Tamandua tetradactyla: one gene and its partners. The protein of the gene in region 2 purifies or fractionates together with the protein of the main gene of each other region. This does not show direct contact. Links are inferred from orthologs where the notes say so. Each region holds a gene or a part of one and is shown on either strand. Other genes may lie near its edges.

Evidence for each region.
Region 1: the proteins of FBXL5 (region 2) and ACO1 purify together in Homo sapiens (affinity purification with western blotting; 3 studies listed by BioGRID, with this or other methods). This does not show direct contact. The link is inferred for Tamandua tetradactyla from reciprocal best matches to the Homo sapiens genes FBXL5 and ACO1.
Region 3: the proteins of FBXL5 (region 2) and MMS19 purify together in Homo sapiens (affinity purification with mass spectrometry; 4 studies listed by BioGRID and IntAct, counting the BioPlex papers as one, with this or other methods). This does not show direct contact. The link is inferred for Tamandua tetradactyla from reciprocal best matches to the Homo sapiens genes FBXL5 and MMS19.

The regions. Positions count from the first base shown.
Region 1 is NC_135328.1:63,547,800-63,555,250, forward strand, and holds the start of ACO1 (cytoplasmic aconitate hydratase), read right to left. Parts: upstream 3,108-7,451; 5' UTR 2,998-3,107; intron 1-2,997. UniProt on the Homo sapiens protein: Bifunctional iron sensor that switches between 2 activities depending on iron availability. Iron deprivation, promotes its mRNA binding activity through which it regulates the expression of genes involved in iron uptake, sequestration and utilization.
Region 2 is NC_135345.1:14,980,761-14,988,079, forward strand, and holds the start of FBXL5 (F-box/LRR-repeat protein 5), read right to left. Parts: upstream 3,025-7,319; 5' UTR 2,930-3,024; coding exon 2,846-2,929; intron 1-2,845.
Region 3 is NC_135339.1:58,807,039-58,813,983, forward strand, and holds the start of MMS19 (MMS19 nucleotide excision repair protein homolog), read right to left. Parts: upstream 3,104-6,945; 5' UTR 2,900-3,103; coding exon 2,788-2,899; intron 97-2,787; exon of another isoform or gene 1-96. UniProt on the Homo sapiens protein: Key component of the cytosolic iron-sulfur protein assembly (CIA) complex, a multiprotein complex that mediates the incorporation of iron-sulfur cluster into apoproteins specifically involved in DNA metabolism and genomic integrity.

The DNA of each region.
Region 1 (7,451 bases), on a different chromosome or scaffold from region 2:
ATATCTTTCTTGGAGTATCAAGTCCTGGTATTTATGCACAAAGTTCTGAAGAATTTCCTTTTCCATAAGACAAACTCCTTAAAGCACTGGCCCCAATTCTGATATTCCAGGATAGGAAACTATAGCACCTGTTTTATAAATTAAGTTTTATTGGAACACAGACACACACATTCATTTACATATTGACTATGGCTGCTTCACATTACAACAGCAGAGCTGAGTAGTTCCAATAAAGACTGAATGGCTGGAGAAGCCCAACATATTTACTAGCCCTTAAGAGAAACAGTTTGCTGACCCATGCTCTAGCATATTTTCTCCCTATCAAAAGCTTTGGAGCAGCATTGCCCAGTGTTTTCATCCAGCCTGAAGAATCCCTCTTCTATTAAAACAGAAAGTACCCTGGATTTGACAGTAGCAGGTGTGCACTGGTAAATGTTTAAAAGACAATTTGGTGGGGGGCGAGGGGGCGGCAGGTGGTTTGTGTAGCACTTGCCCTATTCCATGATGTAAATGGACGCAAATAACTTATTTCAAGCTACCAACATGATGTCACTGAACTCGGAGGAGGGAAACGTGCACAAAGGTCAGTACAAAGCAGCTCCAGCAAACCACTGGCTTCTTGGGACACCTACAATCAAAGGCCCAACCCCCTCACTTGTAAAGACAAGGACGCTGAGGCTCAAAGAGAGAAAGTATCTTGCCTAAGGCTGGCCCCAAGGACTAGAAGCAGGCCTGGGCTCATTTGTATGGAATCCAGCTGCCTCTCAGCAGTTACTTCCTCTGTAACAGGAGTAGGGGAAAGAAGAAAAAGGAACTTTTTGCCACGCACATGGTAAGTGCCGAATAAAGGTTGTATTTAATCATTATTGTCACGTTAGAACCCCAGCTTCTTCAGCACATGGTTTTGAATCACACTTCTGGTAGGATTCAACACACAGGACCACATCGGCTGTCTCAATTAACCAACAGTTTCCTAAGACTGAAAAAGCTCTAGAAAGACAGGGACTGCTCACAACTTTTCCCAGTGTCCAGCACAGAACTGGGAACATAATAAGTAATGGTTAATAAATATCGACTGAAGGGATGAATGAATGAGATCCTACCATCAAGCGGAGTCTTACAGGAAGAACAAGCAGGCCCTAGAAAACAGAGCTGCTCAGAGGTCAGATCCCATTCCCTTCTCATCTGTGGACTGGGCAACAGCAAACAAGTTTATTTGTGTTTGTAACATTTCTAAAGCATCAGCTGCGCGCCAAGCTGACTCATAAGTGTGAGAGACTCTGGATGGAGGAAAAGAGAGGTCAGATCATTTTTTTCTTTGATTTATAGATTTAATTTGTCTTAAACTTGTGCTAATTGAGCGTGAAGCCAAGAAAACAATCTGTTGGAAAATCCCACTACCACACTCCAGGATGCTGGAAATCTCTTCCTGACAGGGGCTGACGAAGGGCCATTTATAGTGAGACACCTCTGAAAGCAGAAAGAATACCAAGATTTGGGGAAACGAATCCCAACAAACTCAAGGCTAGCAACCCCACAGCTGTGAACAGAAAAATGATGAAAAGGAAGGCGAAAGGGCTCCCCCACAAACTCCTACACACTTGGCAGCATCTTCCCATGGGCATTTCTCTGAGCCCACAGGTGCTGTGTGCTACATCATTGCTGTAATCCAGCTGCACAGACAAGTCAGTTCTGCAGACAAGGAAACCAGCAAGGTCAGGTCTGAACCATGCCACGTTTTCAGGAGGCAAACACGACTCTCCACTATCACTTTCATGTAGAGACCCAGTACGTGGACCCCAAAGTGAGGTCAACACTGAGGTTAATACTGTTCATGGACTGGAGTGGTGGTGGTGTCCCCATTCAGAGGAAGGCTCGCCAAAAAGAAACCGGGCCAGCGAATTTAAGCCTCTGAAGCATATCCTACACCAATAGTTCTCAAAGTGAGGTTCAGGGCACTTCTGCCTTTTTCACTCCCAGGTTTTCAAATGTACTTAATGGAGTTTCCCTGAGGCTACACGACACCTGGTATTAGGACAGACTGGGCGCAGAAACAAAACTGAGAATACTGCCCTCTTCCATTAAGTCTGACATTTAAGGGATTTACAAAAAATGTAAAATAATGCCACTCCTCTCAGCAACATTTTGTTCTGGGAAATATACATCTTTTTCATGAAATAATGCTGACCATTATTTTCAGACGAATTATTAACCTATTAAATGATTAAACATTAAAAACGCATCGGTTTTATTTTTAGCATGGTAAAATTATGTCAGCTCCTCAGGGCCTCACTAATTTCTAAGAATTTAATGAGTAATGAGTTCCCAAAAGTTTGAAAGCTGCTGTCCCTAGGGGTTGTTCCCCGTGAGCAGGCTTATGTTTGACGGCGGTGGGGAGAGAGGTGGACAGATAACACCATTCTGATGTCCTGGATGAACTGGGAAAGGCTGGCGAAACTAGAGAGAGGGGCTCAGGGCAGCCCACGCTCCTTCCTGGAGCTCTGAATCTATCAGGCTTCAGAGCTTCCACCGAGGGGTCCCTTCTCCCTTGGTGCGGATTTCCCGATCTGCCCGCACGACCTCAATGAGGATTTTCCGATACGACCCGCCTGGCCTTGGTGACGTCTCCCTGGGCGGCCCGCACACCCTTCGGGTGAGGAGTCTCGGGGGAGGCCCGCACAGCCTTAGGGTAAAGACTCCCCGAGCGGCCCGGTCTGCCTCGGCCAAGACCGGCGAGAAGGGCCATTTCCAGTCTCTGCTGGGGCAGAGCGGTCAATCGCTCTCCAGCAATACGTTCCGGCTTCCCCTCGCCCCACGCCCCATATCCCGAATTCGCGCCCCCCAGCCCCCAAGCCGGGCCACCCGCTCTGCGCGCCTCAGCCGGGCTCCGGGAAAGTGCCTCGGACGCGGAGGAAAAGGGTCTCATCGACTCCCCAGCGGGAGAGGAGGGAGGCGGCTCCTGCCCGGGGCCGTCTGTAAGGCCGAGTCGGTACTCACCGTGGACTGCACGACAGGGGTCCCGCGACACGCGAACCGCCACCACGGTGCTGGGCGCGCTCCCGGGCGCTGCGCGGGTACAGCCGCCGCCTCCGCGCTCCTCCTCCGGCCTCCTCGGTGACCGCCGACCGCTGGGCGGAGTAGGGGCGGGGCGGAGCGCGCAGCCCGGACCCGGCCAGTCCGGGCGCCCGCCCCTCCGACCGCAGCCCTGCTTGGTCCCGGCGGGGCGACCCCCACCCCGATCCCGGCTGGAAGGGCGGACTGCCAATGGTGGAGCGGCCGGAAGAGGAGGGACACCGCCTGGGGCCCGGGCTAACCTCTACGGGCCTAGGGCCTGGGGCCCGGGTGCCTTTCGCTGGGTTTGAGGAATAGGTTTTGATTGCCCAGGCCGCGCTAGGAAATGAGCCGAAGGGGTGGAGAAGAAATGCGGATTTTTTGTTTGCCTTTTCTTTCTTTTTTTAAGTATTTGATTTGGCCACAACGTCAGAGGCTTCATTTTCCGACCTTCCGAGTATGTGCAGTCACCTCGGCTCCCCCCGGCCCCCCTCCCCCGCACTGCCTGCAGCTGCGCCCCTAGCCTCATCGCCTACCCCCACGCCACTCTTTAATTCTTTTGGCTGGGTAGGAAGTCGACGTTTCCTTGGCTTGTCATGCAAAGTTTCTATGTGTTAAAAAAGAAGAGTTTTAGCGTGTAACAACACTTTAGAATGCATTTTGTTCACCAGTCTGAAGTCAAAGAAATAACTGAGAAAGGGCACTGAGTGCCCCTCACAGGACCCGCCTTGATAGTCAAGTACGTTGAAGTTATGGCCTAAGCCCTCTTAGGCAAATGTTGAGATCCTTGAATCCAAAAAAGCTATTAGGTCTTTATAGATCAAGGGTAGTAAGGTTTTCTTGCCCAAATTATTTGGTGAGTTGTGGTTTTATTATCTTGTGTATGTGGATAAACAGCTTATAGTGTGAATAATTAATAGCTTATCCTAATAATGATTGCTCCCATCTTCTGCACTGTAATTCAACTCTTTCTACAGCTTTGGGAAGTGAGGAATAATTCCCCATAATGCAGGTGTGAAATGTTCTGCAGAAGGTTCAGTCCTCAGGCCTGTCTGACTTGCAAACCTACATTTTCCCCATGCTACCCTTTAGTACAGCCATCTCCTAGTTATATTTAATTTTGAAATATAAATAGTTATATTAAATTTTGAAAAGGAGGAGTTACTGTATTTCCATTGTGGGAGAAGAACTTTCTTCCCACCCAATTCCTAATTCCCTTCCATTCATAACCAGTTAATAAACTTTCTTTGAGTGTACACTATATGCCAGGCGTTCACCACAAACCCTGAAAAAGAATAGTAATAGAGTACCTGTGGAAGTTAGGGAGAGTATGGGAAGGGCAGGAATAGATGGAAGGATGGGTCTAGGGAGAGAACACATCCAATTAAATTCCAATTCTTAGTGAGACAGTCCTTCAGAAAGCAAAATTTCTCAATGACAACCTTGATACTTTGCATAATAATATGATAATTGATAAGCCTTTTGATAGAAAAGATTTAAATCAGAACTATAAAGGGAATTGAGATTTACTAGGAAACACTGGCCAAAAACATAAAGGAAATAATTCCTTCACTACACTCCATTGCTCTTGGAAATGTCACCATCACCTCCTGACTGCATATCCAGTGGCCTCTCTTAGGTTCTTGTCCTTGTTGACAAGATGCTGCTCTGTGGTATTTGACACTGGTGACTGGTCTTCTCCTGAAATGTTAACCTCTGCTTTAATGATCCTGTCTCTTCTTTGATCCCTGTCTCTCAGACTCTCTTTCCCCTATCTTTACGTCGATGAGTTTTCCTTTATTTTTTACTCTATGCAAACCCACTGCCACCTCTAACAGAACCCTGCTATGTCCCCATCATTGGGCTCGGCCTTCTGATCTGCACACTTTACAGCCGTTTATGGGGCGTCACCCCTGGACCTGTCGTTCATCATCTAAAGTGGGAATTCAATATCTTTAACAATCTCTTTCCCCTCCCATCCATCCAGTTTCTTCCTTATCCGGATTTCCACATCTGGAATTTGGCTCTCATTGTGTGTTACGAAAGTTAAATATTTTAGGAGTTTAGGACCTATTCCTTTACTCACACAGGGACCTCTTAATAAATAGTTCTGTCATGATACTAACAGTTCTGCCAGTGACCTAGAGGAGTGTTTACACTTTATAGACCTTCTGAGAGGAAGCCACCCAGGTGTGGCAAGGGCTCAGGCACCACAGCTCTGCGCCTGGGGCTAGAGACAGAAGGGACTTCAGTTGAGGTAACAGTAGTACTTTAGCAGTCTCAACTGCCAGAAGCTTCTGCTACTATAGGAACAACCATGAGTCAGAAGACATTTTAAGCTCTGAGGAATACCTAACTCCAGCTGACTTCAGTTACTTGTATCAACTGGACTTTCTTAATTTATTGAGAATCCATCTTTCAGTGGATCTGAGCTTTATGGGAAAGACATGAAAGGTTCTAAAAACTATACCCAACTAACTTTGCATGTACTTCACACACACTTAATGGAAAAGAAGTACTGTAAGAGAAAGTCTTGCATAGTGGTTCTCAAGCCTCAGGGTGTGTATGAAAATAAACACCCCCATGCTGCACTCCAGAGGGGCTGAGTTTGTTGTAGCTGGTCAGATCACACTTTGAGAAACACTAGTGGTGGTTACCAAACTGGGTATTTCTCAGAATTGTCAGAGCACTTATTAAAAATAGTGCCCAGGATGGAATCTGTGCTCAGATTCTGAGGAATCTAAATTTTTACTTCAGGTGACTCTGCTTTAGCATGTCTGCAGATTGGCTCCAAGGAGCTTCTGCACTCCCCGAGGGCAGTGTGTTCATCACCCCAACCCCAAACCCAGTGCGTGGTAGGTGCTCAGTACAAGTCTGTGGGCTCTGAGTTACTGACCGTCACTTTCTTTCCTCTACATACCCTTTCTTTTCCTGTATGGCCTGTTTGCTCTTCAGGGTGTTTAACATGGGCTGGTGGGGAGACACCTAGAACAAAGCATAAGATGATCTTTCCTGAAATTCATTTTTGAGGGAACTCTAGAATGCCCAGCTTCATCGCTGAATATATGTTTTCTTTCTTCCTTATTTTGAGGAAGGCCCTCAGCATTTGAAATAAATGTTTCCTGTTCCTCTAAAAAAATAAAAGACTATATTCATAATAAGGAAAGATAGTTCTTAGCATCCACTTGACTGCCTGCCACCTCCCACTCCCACCCCTGCCCTGGCATCTACGTAATTTTTGTGTTCTCTTTCCTACTGCCTAAGTGCTAGAATCCCAACCTGCCATCTCAGGGAGTCAGGACTCTCTGGGCAGTTGTTTACAGCTAAGTGCCATTTCCCTCAATATCACTAATAATAAAAGACAAATGTCATTAAATGCCCCATTTAATGATTACAACAACCCTTTGAGGTTAGTAACATTACTGTTGCCATTGTGCGGATGTGGACACAGAGATTCAGAACAATTACAGAACTTGCTTCAGTAAGTTCATACATGGTGACACTGGGTTTGCACCAAGGCTGGTCTAACTCTAGAGCTTGTGCTGTTAACCTCTATGCAACCAAATGTAATTTTAAAGTGAGACCATCAAGCACTCTGTTATAAATTATTTGTTCTTTGCAGAAAAGAAGAGTGTTTTGATTTGCTAATACTGCTGGAATGCAATGTACCAGAAATGAGTTGGCTTTTATAAAGGGAATTTATTAGATTACAAGTTTACAGTTCTAAGGCTATAAAAATTGTCCAAACTCAAAAGGCCTCCAGTGAAAAATACCTTGACTCAAGAAAGGTCAATTGGTCCCAAACACCTCTGTCAGCTGGGAAGTCACATGGCTGGTGTCTGTTGGTCCTTTGGCTTGTGTTTAAAACAGCTTCCTTGGGGGCGTTTTCTTTCTGCATCTCCACAGGTTTCTCTCTGTGGGCTCTGAAGCTTTTTCCAAAATGGTTCCCTCTGAAAGGATTCTAGTAAGTGACCCACCTATAATGGGTGGAAACATACTTAATCACAAAGTTCCACCTACTATTGGGTGTGTCACATCTCCATGGAGGCAATTTAATCAAAAAGATCCCATCCAACAATATTGAGTCAGAATTAAAGAACAAGGCTTTTCTGGGGTACACAACCAGTTTTGAACTGGCAGAAAGAAGGATTTAAATGGTCTAAAAGGGAACTTTGGGCTATCACAATTTTGCTAGTCAGGGTTCGCTAGAGAAACAGAACCAACAGGAAATATCTGTAAATATGAGATTTATAATGGTATCTCATGCAACCATGGGAATAGAAGAATCCAAAATCTGCAGGGCAGGCTGTGAAGCTGGCGGCTCCAATGAAGGCTCTGGATGAGCTTCACAGGAAAGGCTTGCTGGCTGAAGAAGCAGTGAAAGAGTCGTCTTCCTTAAA
Region 2 (7,319 bases):
GATATAAAACAGAAAAAAACCCTGCCCTTACCAATCTCAAAGGATTGCTGTCTGGAAAACTAAGGTGGAAAATCTTTCCATAAAACCTTCTGAAAATGCAAGAAGAAATCCATGACCAATTTTTAAATATTATACAGCAATATATAAAATAGCCTAAAATAACTTCAGAATAAAGTATTCTAAGTAGACTACCTTAAACATATTTAATTAATGAGTTAGTGCTTGTAAATAAATGATGCTTCTAAAATATATTGTACTTGAAAAGTTCAATATTGGAAATAAAACCAATTTCTTTATAATTGCTGGGCATTTTCAGGCTCAAAATTTAAAATACAATGAAATAACACACATCATACCTTTTTAGTTGAATATAAAAACTAGTTCTAGGCTGTTTGGGTTGGGTATTGGGTTATGAAATTGGACTTGTTATACCTGGCCTATACAACCAAAGGATGGAGACAGTAAAACTTGAGATGACAACTGAACAACAAAGGAATTCTTCCCTTTATTCCTTTAAGAATATTGAGCCACCAGAAAATACTTATTTGCCCACTTTACCCCCAAGAATGTCTAGGAAAGATTTTCATTGGCTATTAGTATCAAGAAGAAGCTAGGAGATAAAATTCCATGCAGCTTTTTTTCTTTAACATCACCTTAGTGTTTGAGCCACAGTTCAGAAAATTAAACTTATACTCTTGTTGATGATCTACAAAAATCTCATTAACAATACCTAATTAACTCAGAATTAGGGGTAATTCTGACTTATGCTATGCCAAATTGCAAAAGGGAACATTTTAATTACTGAAAAGAATCTTATTTGACTCAGGTACCATTGTTTGTTGTTTTAGGCAACTGCATTTTCAAAATTTGTTGAAACGTTCTCACCAGGGGGAAAAAATAGTAACAGCCTTCTTCAAAATGTTAATGGAAGGAGGGCTAGTACTTAACTAGATAAAGTTACGAGTTTTAATTATTTGGAGAGGATCACAATCATTTGAAAATCTGATTCATCTTCTTAGACTGTCTAGGAAGATGTACACATGCACAAAATTTTCCACACAATTTCAAGTGGTCCTTGGAATCTTTCCGCTCTAAACTGAAGACCTCAGATTCCATTAGTCCTTATTAAATTTCCCTTACCTTCAAATTTTGAAGTAAAAAACTTCCCCATTAATTTCATAATTGCAATGAAATAATTTCAAATGAACTAAATTCAAAGGCCAAGAAGGATAAAAACATTACAGGGAAAGCTAACTCAAGAATTCAGGGTTAGCCGCTACTGCTTAACAACTCATCCACTCCTTAAGCTTCTCCTGGATAAATAGTTCTCAACCCTGGCTGCACAATGGACTCATCTAGAGAGCTTATAAAAACTTAACCTCTGGGTCCCACTCTCAGAGATCCTAATTTAAGTGGTCTTGGGCATCAAGAGTTTTAAGATCTTCCCAGGTGATTCTATGAGCAACCAAAGATGAGAACCAGTATCCTAGACAGTGCTCCATCTAAAGCAGCTTTTTTTCAATCTTCAAAATGAGGGGAGGGGGGTGCACAGGTAGCTCAGTGGTTAGAATGCCTGCCTTTCAGGAGGGAGACCAGCGTTGGATTCCCGGACCATGCACCAAAAAAAAAAAAAAAAAAAAAAAAAAAAAAATGGGGGGAGGGAAGGGTGGTTATGGGCGGGGGCGCTAAGATCTGAAACTCAACCTGACCAATTTGAAATTGTTGAGCTTCAATGTGGCCAAGCACTGAACACTAGGTTTCCTCCAATCACCCTACTGGGCTGTAAGATACTTTTCTGTCAATAGTAGTTCTGGTTAATGCTATGTAATTTCTGAAAATCCATACAAGTTGATTTCTATGCTTACGTAACAGGCTCATTTCTCCATGAAAACTGCCCGATATTTCCAGGATATCCGTAAATTGACAGATATGTGGAAGTTTAATACTGTTTGTAAATTATTAGCAAAAGGTCCTGAACTATCTTCACAAAAGTACTTCTTCACCTTATGCTGCGTCAATTAAGAATAGAAAAAGGTTCGCAGAGTTCAACCAACTTTACCAGAGGTCCCTTTTATTCGAGCCTATGTAGAGAATTACAACAGAAAGGAGCTACCTTATGACAAAATCGACATCCAGCAAATGTTTGGGGCAATAAAAGGTGCAAGGAAAAATGCAACTATAAATGAATAGTACAAGTTCTCTAGTTCCTAAGCCAAGAAACCTGGTCTGACTTCCAAATCAAACCAGGATGAAAAGCTGGGAAGAAAATGAGCAGGGACTAGTTGGAAGCTGAACAGGCCGGCTGGGCCAGGAAGCAAAGAAGAGATTCAGAGAAGGATGGATGGGTGTTTGCAAAGAGCCTCGGGGAGCCCCAGGACAGGGTGGCTCGGACCGGGGAGGCGGACAACCGCAGAAACGGCCTACCCTGTGCGGATTGGCAACGCGCCGCAGGTGGCTGACCAAGGGGGTCCCCGAAGGTTTTCCCTTCCCTTCCACCACCCGGGGTGGAGCGGGAGGCCCAGTGCGGCCCAGGGATCTTGGCCGGGGTCCAGGGCGCGCCCCTCCTCGCGCCCGCAGGCCCTCAGGAGAACACAGCCCCGAGGGCACGTCCGAGGCCGCCGGCGCGGGACGGGGACGCGGACTCCCGGAGGCCCCGCGGCTGGCAGGCCCGGGAAGGTGCGAGCTGGCGAACGCAGCGCTGACAGCTGCGCAGGCGGGAGTTCATGCGGCGGCGGCGGCGGCGGCCCAGGGAGCTGCGGGCACCACGCAGGCCAGGCCGCCAGAGGAACCCGGCCCGCTCCAACTCTGCACTGCCCAGCTGCAAGAGGCCGCGGCACACCGTTACCTTGTCGCAGTAGAGCCCCACCAGCTGCTTCATCCGCCAGTGTGGGGCGGTGAAGACGTCCACTTCTTCGGGGAAGGGCGCCATCGCCACTGCCTCAGCGTCCGCCTCAGCAGCCGCGGCCACCGCCTCTCCATAGACACCCTCGCCGCCGGGCAGAGGCGGCGCGCCCCCCTGCGCATGCGCCCGCCCCGTCGGCGCGCGCGCCCGGGCTGCCTGGCCAGCGGGGGCGCGGAGGCGCGCGGGCCGACGCCATGCGGTCCCCGCGGCCCACGTGACCGGGCGCGCTAGTAAGCCTCCGGTCTTCCACCACCTGCGTCAGGTTTTCTAATCCCTTGTCCTCCTCGTGTAGCACAAGAAGAAACCAAAAATTTTCCTTGTTTGTTTCCCAGATTGAAACACATTTTCGTGGGGGCAGGGGGGGCGGGCCGGAAGGGTGGTATTAGGGACGCTCTCAGCGTGTCTCCCAGTTACCGCCATGACCTCAGGCCCTGAGGCTGAAGCAGTGGAGCACAATGGCCGCGGTCGTGGGTCGGAAGCTCCACCTTGGCGCTACGGGCTTCTTTAGGAACGCTGAGCTCGACCTGGGCCCCCGTGTGCCACGTTTTGTCTCCTCAAGTCCCCGGGGCCGAGAGATGACCTCCCCGCCCTCTAGTCAAAGGCCAGAGCTTGGCTGCGCCCCAGCGAGCTGGGTGAGCCTAACTGTGGGGGCGCCGAGAACTTGCAGCCACGCGGAAAACGGTGACGCGTGACGGGAACGGCCTCTGGCGGGCACTGCCTTTGGGCGTGAGAGGCAGGGCAGAGGTCACGCATCTCCTCCGGAATGTCAGGAGACTCAAAGAAGGAAAAAGGCTCCTGGGGATCAAGAAGGCAGGAATGCACCTCAAGCCCAGGGATAGGCCTTGGCGGGTGGGGGCAGGGGAGAGTGATCACAGAAGATTGGAGAAAACATTTTGGTTGAAATCCCTCCATTTTAAGCCGAGAATCAGAGAGAAAGGAGAACAAGGTCACTCGCAAGAGGAAGGCCCATCTGCTCTTCCCCAATTACCTGATCCTTCGTCACCATCTAGGAGGAAGCAGTTAAGTGCTCCCCTTGCCCTGGTTCAGGACTGATGGACAGACACCAAAGTGAAAGAAAAGAGATAAGGCTGAAATAAACCTTGGAAGAGTTGTATTATTTGATTAATGGCAATAGACTCCAGGAGGGCAAGAACCAGTTATGTTTTGTTCACTCTTTATACCTGTTACCTGTCACAGTTCCATGACAGCACAGGGGTTCAATAAATATTTCAAAGAATGATAAGAATAGAAGGAGGTGAAAAGAACCTTTCATGATGCACACCAGTTTATTTCTGATCTTGCTATATGCCATTTATTGACAAGGAATGTGAACAATGATTAAAAGCACAGGTGAAGTTGGATTCCTGGTTTTGCCAGTTGCTAGTTTTATAACTTTGAGCAAGCTATGTGACTTCCCTGTGTTTCAGTTTCTTCATGCATAAAGTGGGAACAGTAATACCTACGTCATAGAATTGTTATGAGGATTAAGAGAAAATTTGCATATTTGAAGTGCCTAGGACAGTATCTAGCGCATAATAAGCACTGCCTGTCAGCTGTTATTATTAAATAAAATAACTCTATGAAGCAGGTGCTGTTATCTCCATTTTACTATCAGGAAACTAAAACATTTTGTAATTGCCTGGGACCCCACAGTTTGTAAGTGAATGATCTGGCCATATAAATCTACACTTGAAATTATTCTCCCAGGCATTGTGTTAGTTGGGTGGGTTACGGAGATGGCTTAAACGTAGTCTGTCCTAAAGAAACAGAAATAAATCTTGAATAGATAAGGTCCTTGATATGATCTTCCCCTTTTTCCTCCTCTGCCCCTCACTTTTTTTACTCTGCTCTTTCACTAGGGCCTCTTTACTTTTTAATATCCCCCAGAAGGCATTTCCTTATGTACCCTCCATTCCTCATTTTTTTACTTCATTCTGATCTTGGAGTGTAGAATTGGAACCTACAGATTGTGTAAAGAAATGAGCTCCATAAGAACATGAACTTTGTTTTATACCCAGCATTTAGAACAGTGCCTATCATTCAGTTAACACCCAGTAAATTCATGGCATTGTATAATTTCCATATTTTAATTAACTTTTAATATGGCATGTTTAATTTCCCATCCACCTGTGTGTGTTTGTGTTGTCCACTATCATATCCACAGAATCAGGCATATTAAGTTGGTGTTTAACTTGGAACAACAATAAAAATTAGTTGATCTACACACAGAATTTCACTCTTAACCAGATTTTGAATCTGTGCAGTCAGCTAAAAAGTAATAGCAGCTACTTGGGACTCTGGCCATTTGAGGGAATTTGTTTAAGATTACAAAATGGAAGAAATAAAGTGATAAAAGTAAGCCCTATGGGTCCTTTCTCCCTTCTAAAGAAGCTGGTAAGATTAGCTATGTGAACTGAGTAATATAGCAATTAATCATCATATATATCCAGAATAATTGATTGATTTAAATTGAACTTTAGCACTAGAGGGAAGACATTGATTATTATAGTATATTACTTTAGGTTACTGCAACCACAGTCACTTAGGAACTGTTAAGGCCAAGGTAATCATTTTAGTGACCTCTCTGCCTGATTGCTTCTGTTACGTAACAGCAGACTAATGCTAACAGAATATCCAGCCACTGGCCACAAGAAGACTGGACAAGGCATGTGGACAGAACAGTGAAAATTCATGTTAGGAATTGAAATAGGTCCCCTATAAAAGCCATGTTCAGGTGCCAACTCCTGTAGGTGGTCCTGTGGGTATGAACATATTGTATATAGAACCTTTGAAGATGTTATTGGGTGAGGTGGCCCAAACTGCATAAAGATGGGCTTTAATCCAATATGACTGAAGTTCTTATAAGCAAAAGAATTTGGACATGAAGAAGAAGCCACCAGGAACAGCCAGAAGCTGGAAGTTAATGGAACCTAGAAGAGAAAGGAGAAGAAGCCACCATGTACATTGCCATATGACAGAAAAACCAAGGACCAAGGATCACCCGCAGCCAGCCCCAGACTGCTACAGTCTTCAAGGAGAAAGCATCACCTTCTGATGCCTTGATTTCAGAATTCTCCTAGCCTCAAAACTGTGAACCAATAAGTCCCCATTTTAAACTAACCCATTGTACGGTATTCATTTTAGCAGCTGGGAAACTGAAACAACAAAACATAGAATGTCTGATAGATATACTAGTGGATTGATGGTTCTCTTTTTCCCACTTGCTTTCTCTGAAAAACTGCATGCTACTGGAAAAAATGAAAGCCAAATCATTCCCTAAAGATATCATGACACTAGACCTCTTCTGTAATATTTCCAGCAGTAGTTTTGAGGGCCCTGGAAAGGGTTACTGGCCAGAGAAAGTCAATTTTAAGGCATTTCTTTATTTGAGTATGTGACACAGCACTTCCCTCGATAGGGGTTTGTTGTGAAAGCAAATGATGAAAGAATGTTGCAATTGCAAAAACAGTTGGAATTATGGTCCAAAAGTAGTATCAGAGTTGATCCTTGCTGCCAGTAAAAATTAGCCTATCAACAGCTGCTGTAGCAGACTAGATCATTTTAGTAGTAAGAGTAGAACAAGTCCCTTTATGTGATGAATTACAGGTGATTCCTCCCCTTCTTTTATTTTTTCTGTTCTTTCCAGTTTTTAAAATGATTACATTTTACTTTGGCCATCAGAAATACATCAACTTCAGATATGTCTAAGGCATTTTATTTACACAGAAAAATGGTTATAGTAAAATATTAAATGGGATGAGCAGAAGTCAATATGTTACAAATGACTTGATGACAACTATATTTTACAATTACATTAAAATGGCCTAAAAATAAATATATTAAATTGTTAGCAATAGCTATCTTTTGGTGGTGGGACTGTGGCTGATTTTTATGATGTCATCTTTTTTTTTTTTCAAAATTTTGTAGTGGAAAAAAAGAACTAACTTAAAAAAAAAAGTCTTCATTTAATTACCATCAATCACTATTACAATGCCAGAACTATATCTGGTCTCATGGAGTCCCACCCTACCTCATACATAGGCTTAAGTACTTCCTGTACTTGTGCTTGGAGACCTCTGGCTCTGCCTCCTGCCATGTGGTCTCATCTGTTTGGGATGGGACTCCCCCAGCTTGTCCGTAGGAAGCAAGTCCAGTGAATTCTAGCTGGAATTTAGACCAGTAAGCCCCTGCGGTCCTTCCTCATGAGATAGGCATTAGACTTTGACCTTGGCTAGGCCTCAGTGGCCAGCCACGGTTACTACCAGCTCCGTTTAAAGTCCACACAGTTGCTAGAAATTTAGGAGGACGGGAAGTATCTCCCACACTTGGCATTTGCCTCTTCAGTAGCTCTTTTGTGCCCATAAGAAGCCTCAATAACCAGTTCCAGAACTTCAGAACTTCAATTTGGAGCACAGAC
Region 3 (6,945 bases), on a different chromosome or scaffold from region 2:
TAGGATTTCTGTCCCACGTTGCCAGGAAGGTCCACACCCCTGGGAGTCCGTCCCACATAGAGAGGGGGAGGGCAGTGAGTTTGCTTCTCCTGTTGGCTGAGAGAGAGAGAGGCCACATCTGAGCAACAAAAGGGGTTCTCTTGGGGTGACTCTTAGGCCTAATTTTAAGTAGGTTTAGCCTATCCTTTGCAGGGTTAAGTTCATATGAATAAACCCTAAGATTGGGGGCTCAGCCTATTGCTTTGGTTGTCCCCACTGCTTGTGAGAATATCAAGAATTCTCCAATTGGGGAAGCTGAACTTTCCCCCTTTCTTACCATTCCCCCAAGGGGACTCTGCAAATACTTTTTGATTCACTGTTCAAATCCTTCTGGGATTTATTGAGGCATCACTCTGGACAAACCTACAAAATCTCATGCTCTACTCAAGGTTCCATGTACTCAATTAAGCTGTCCACATAAGTTATACTAGGAAATGCATTACTGACTCCTATTTTTACCAAGAACCCACCAGGTTCTTGACAAAGACAAAATTGGTAGTAGCTGCCTTTGTGAGGAGGGGATGTTTCTTTTGCTTTTACTATTGTAGGAAACTCTGCTGCTATGAGTGGCTAAAAAGGAAGCACTAACAAAGCCTGACAGGCTGGAGGATTAGAAAGCACATCTTATTCTGAGGATGCTTCAAAACTGTCAGCCTTCAATAACCCTAAAAAGGGCAGTGATCTAAGATTGAGAATACCAATTTAAACCTCTAAACTTATCTTCTTTATACGGCTTCTTTGCTCAAGGATCTACAACCGCTATTCCTACAACAGGTCATTTAAATACCTCTGATTGGGATCCAATGTTATGCATAATTCAATCCCATCAAACACCAAACATTTCAACTTTATCTGTTACTTCTCCTCGTACCAACCTTCTTCATTTAGTCAGGAGACCAAAAGTACAACAGGCTTAGTAGTTACTGAGTTTTGGCTGGGCTGAGCTTGTTTTAAAGTAGACAATAGTTTAGGTCATTTTTTTCAGACAATAACAAAAAAAAATTTATAAACACGTAAAACTTGGCAGTCTCTTATCAGATTGTAGTCTCAGTATATTTTGAACCTGAAAAATCCAAAAGTATTGTTTCATAATATATAAATGTGAAAGAAAAATTTTAAATGACACTGGTATAATGTTTTATGTTGACAAGGGTTTGGATTGCATTTTTTAAAGCAACGAATGTTCACTTAAGGTATGTGTTCTTAATTGGATATAAATGTTTCACCTAAAGAGAAAGAAACTGTAAACAAATACTGAACTCTAATGATATGCAGGCTTAAGTATTTAGGGGTAAGCGTATGGATATCTGCAACTTAAATGGATGGATAAGTGATCAATCAAGTATATTAAAATGTTAATGGCAAAAAAGAGTTAATAGCAGGATCTAGGTGATGAGTGTATGTGGGCTCCTTATAAAATTCTTTAGACTTTGCTTATGTTTGAAAAAATTCACAATAAAACACTTGGAAAAATGACACTGGCACATATTGTACTCGTTAACACTGTCAACACTGATAACTCACTAAATTTATTGTAAGAAGTCAAGCTTCGTGGAATGGCAGAAGGGGGCATTTGTTCTCTGATGCTTCCATAGCATCTGAATACACCTCCTAGAACCCTTTTTATGGTCGACTGTGTTCGTAGTTGTCTCTCCCACCGCAGTATAAGTTTCTGAAGGGCACCAATCTGAACTGATTTATAGCTATATTCCTATTGCTTTGCATCATTTGAAGAATAACGTGTTCAGTAACGGTGGAACGAATGAATGAAAGCAGAATACTGCTAAGAACCAAAGCATTACATTTTTAGCAGACGCAATTTATTCATTTCTCACGTATTCTAAAAGTTAGTATCTCAGTTTTCAAGAGAAGCAATGTTCTTTACTTCTCCCCAGACATGCAAAATTTCCAAAAAATACCTTTAAAATACAAACTTACGGATACCTACAATATTATTTTGTATTCTGTGACTTATGCCTGAGGTCTGAAGGCCTCCTAACATTCAGTAACGCTTTGGTAGATAAATTTTCTTCTACAAAAGCACAGTATTAAAATTCCAAAGACACCTAATATTATTTGATTCAAATCTTAGGAAGCTGTCAGAACCAAGAGATTGCTGAACTGGTCATAAGCAGGTACTGGAAATGTAAGAAAAGATAAAACCACACTGCACATGAAAAACTTGAGAAGCAAATTAATCAAGAACTTTACGAAGAAACAGAGGGAGGACACTGAACATCTCAAACTGTGCCTAGAACGCCTTCCCTCCTCTCCCTCCAATTACAGCCAGTCGGTGGCCGGCGCCGCCCCGCCGCTCCCAAGATTCCACGCGACTGGTGCTGATGCCGCTGAAGCTGCATTTTCTCACGTCTACCTCCTAGATACAACGTGGTTTCCCCGTGAGAGCATCCGATGCCGAGTTCCAGCTCCCCGACCTGCCTGATCTGTGACACTCCGCAAGTCTCTTCTCGCTGTAACTCAGTTTCCTCATCTGTAAAATGGTAATGATTATCCTAACCCCGCCTCTCCTGCACAGAAGATGGTTACGGAAGACGAGGAGTGTAAAAGCGCTTTAAGGAAGATGCAAATAACTTTCAATTTTGGTACGGCTCTTAAGCACCCGGTGCTCCTGGGGACAGTCTCTCACAGTCACCTCTATCCCTCACTCTTCCCGCCCGACCCCCTGTGTGGAGGCCGCTCCCTCCTCTTGGACCCCATGCGGAAGCCGCGCGGCGCCGTCTGCCATACCTGCAGCCACCTGGTCAGCAGACCCCTCCTGCTGACCCACGACAAAGTCGTGCACGAGGTCCCACAGGGCGCCCGTAGGCGCCACTGCCTCCAAAGCGGTGGCGGCGGCCATGACACGAACTAGTGACCGTAGGAGGGGAAGTAGGTGGTGGCACGAAACAAGACTCTCCGCGCATGTGCTTCATGAGCCAATCGCTTGGCGAAGACTTAGGGGGCGGAGCGCTCCGCGGATCACGTGCCCGCCGGCTCCTCGCCTGGCAGTTCCAGGGAGGGTGGGGCGGCCCCTCCCCGAGGGGCGGGGCCTGAAGTAGGGGCGCTGGCGCGGGGAGTGCGACGGGTGCTGGGCACGCAGCGGGGGCCATTGAGGGCGCATAATTCCCGGCCCGGTTCCCGTGGAGACGGGCGACTGGGCGGGCACCTGGCTGGGTGGGGCCGAGGGGCGGTATGCACCCTGCGGGAAGCCAATGAAAAAATCAGGCCCGGCCCAAGGAGGCGGTGCCGTCGGTCACATGCGCACCTGGGGCGGGCGGTGGCGGTGCGGGCACTGCGAGCAGGCGGAAAGGAGCGGGGCCGGGCTGGGGCGGGGTTAGACAGGTGAGTGACAGGCTCCGGGGGGCCGGCCCCAGCTGGGAGCCCCGAGCGAGCTCCGAGTAGCTGCGGCGGTGCCCGCCCCCTCTCTCCGCCTCTACAGCGGAGCTGGTCTCCCGCCGGGCACCGTCGTGGGCCCCCCTGGCCCGGCCACCTGGTGGACTGTGCTGGGGAGTCGTCCCCCTCCTCTACCTTCGCCCGCAAAGTTTGTGGCGAAGCCGGCGCTGGGTCAGAGTGCACCCCCGGGGGGGAAATCGGGGTGCGCCCGATGCCGGGCGGCAGGAGCCGTTGACCTGGGACGCCGCGGTCCGGGGCAGGAGCGCGGAGCAGCCGTCCACCCACCCCCCCGCCTCCGGTGGATGGGGCCCGGCTGAGGAGCCAGCATGGGCAACTGCGTGGGGAGACAGCGCCGGGAGAGGCCGGCCGCCCCGGGACACCCCCGCAAACGAGCAGGTAATGACAGGGAAGGGAGCAGAGCAACGGGCACCTTGCCAGTTGTCCCCCCTTCTTACTGGAGCCCTGGACTTCCCGAGAGACCACTCCCGGCGCCTGGCGCTTGGGAATCCCCCGATGGCTGCTCGGGAGCGGGACGGGGGCCTCCTCCCCAGTCCTGGATGGCCGGGGGAGCTGAGTTGGGGCAACTGCGAGCGCTGACCCGGCTGCGAGACCGACTCGCTCCAACTGGGAAGCTCCTGGTGGGGGTGGGGGCAGGAAATGTTTGCAGACCGCAGCGGGGCGGACGGAGGGGGGAGGACCCCGGGCGAGGGCGCCGCTGGCCTGGCAGCCCGGGCCGGGGTCTGACGCCGGCCGGTTGGGGCACGGCGCGGGCAGCCAGGCGTCCCCAGAACTCGGAGCGAGCGAGACGAGCTCAGTCGATCCTTCCAAAGACTGTTATTATCGGGCTGCATATCGTGCTGCCCGAATCCGACTTGCAAAAGCAGCGCAGGGCTCTGGGAAGGAAATCTTTATTTTTCCTGCAGGGTTTTTAGAGTCTCCCGGCCGTCTGGGAATCTAGGAAAGGTGGAGTGAGGTGGGGGTGAGAATTTCTCCCTCGGGTTTGTTGGGATTCTTCCCAGCCTTTGGTATGGGGATCTCTTCGCGATTCGGGAGGGCCGGGTAGCGCCTTCTCACTTTCTCGGTACACCCCTCCTCCTATCCTGGCGCTTTGCCCCGGACACTCACTTCCTTCTCTGAGGATGTTGCAAGGATCTTCTGAGAATGATAAAATAGTAGACTTAGAAATTTGTCTAGATTCCAGATAGACCTACTTCCTCCTCCCTATCCAAAAACACAAATCCAGAGAGATTGAGCAACTTGCCCAAAGCCACACAGCTAATACAAATTGGGCCCAATTGCTACATATCCCTTTCTGTAAGAGGAATCACTGGCCTGAAGTTGTTAATGAAGTGGAAACTCTAGTTGCAGTTTCCTGCCTCTCTTTGACCCGTAGGTGTGTTACTGTGTTGTGGAACCTGGGAAGGAGAATGGAGTGAAGGGGGGGTGGACCTGAGGAAGAAGGGAAGGATGTCTATGTAGTGGACCGGATGACATATGGAAGGAAGAAATGTGTTTTTATAGGAAGGATAAGGTAAAACTTAAGATCGGAATCTTCTTATAGGAAGGCATCCCTAATCATTCTTCTGAGCAAAGTTAATTCTCAAACCCAAGGGACTTTCATTCATTCTTTCAATTTATTATTTATGTGCTTTCAATTTATTATTTATTTAATCAGTCCTAATAATTGATTTCATTGTATTTTTCACTGCTGACAGCCTCCCCTCCTTGAAACTTTCTTCTCCCTTCCCTTCTTAGCATTATTTTGGTTTTCCTCTTTGATTACTCCTACCTACCAAGCATCTCCTAGGTGGGTACACTCATGGTTAAGTTTCACATTGTTTTTTCTCTCTTTATACTCCCTCCCAGAGAAATCGTATTTGGTTCCATAATTGCTTTCCCCCTGTGCTATATATTCAGCTGTTACCTGTCTCTTGAACCCCATACCCACATCTCTAAATGGCTGCTGGACACTGATCTAGATATCCTCAGATTCAGCACCACTAGAGCCAAGCTCTGTATCTCTTCCCCCTTAATCTGTTTCCCTTCCTTACCCTTACATTCTCTGAGCTACGTAATTATACCTTGAAAAACTCCCCCACTGACTGTCTTTGTCTCCTAGCCAGCTAGTCACTGCTGACTCTTCCTTTCATGTGAGTTACAAACCTGCCCCTTCCCACTCTACTGCAAGGTCCTGTCACCTCGAGTCCTGCTTCTCTCCCAGTCTGAAGTCAGTTACCCACCAAAGGCAAGTTCATCTTCACTCACTCATCCGAAGCAGAGTGTCTATACCTAGAAGTTCCCCCAAAAGTAGTTTGTTAAATTGACCTATTCCAAACCCTGTAATTAATTTTATGTTGAAAAATCTTTCTGCATCTCCCTATTGTTTACAATAATCTAAACTTTTAAGGATATGTCTGACCCAGTCCTTCCTTTTGGGACCTGATTTCTTTCTCTTCCTTAACATTAAGGTCACCAGCTTGTACTTGTTTCATTTCCCCACCTCATCTTATCAAGAGTCGTTCTCCCCTTCATGGTCTACCCCAAATCCCTTATCTTTCTTGAAGCACCTTCCCTAACAAATCTCCTCCCACATCCAGTGGAAGAGATTGCTTCTTCTAAGAACTCCTGCAGATACATTATCTATGCTACTTACTGTATAATAATCTACTCCATATTACTGGTTATGTGGGTTTCTTTTTTAGCTGTGAAAAATAACATATATACAAAGAAAAGCAATAAATTTACCAGTGCATTTTAACAAGTAGTTATAGAAAAGATTTTAAAGTTTGGTATTTTTTTCATTTTTTCTTCTAGTTGCTCCAAGACACTGAAGACCAAAAGAAATATCAATATATTGATTCACCAGTCATATTCATTTGTTAAATCCTATCTTCCTTATTTTTCTCTTCCTTCTCTTTTTTTATAAAAAAAAATAGCATATATGTAAAAACAAAGCAATAAATTTCAAAGTACATCACAACAATTAGTTGTAGAACAGATTTCAGAGTTTGGTATGGGTTACAGTTCCACAATTTTAGGTTTTAAGTTGTTGGTCAGGTTTTTAATGTTTACATTCTTATACCAGCAACTACACTGCAAGCCTTGAAACCTGAATTCTGTCTTATTCTGGTGTGTCTCTGTTCCTCTTTCTCAGTCACTTACTCAAATAGTCATATACACACATACACATACGTATACATAGCATTTAGCACAATAACTTGTACAGAGAAAGCCCTCAATAATTGTTGAATTTAGAAAGCTAAACCTGACTTCATCCTACATCTGTATTTTTCATGTAAATATTTTACTGAAGTATTTATCTGCATTTTAAAATCTGTTGGTATATTATTATTTCACTTATGTGGATCTTACTATGAATAGCTTTATTCATAAAGTCCAAATCAAAGGGGGCACTCTAAGGTGACAGAAGTTTGGGTATAAAGAAGAAATCCTTAACGTCACAGTATGCACCTGGCATTTTTGTAACATCTGCAACTTACCCTTTGAGAAGGA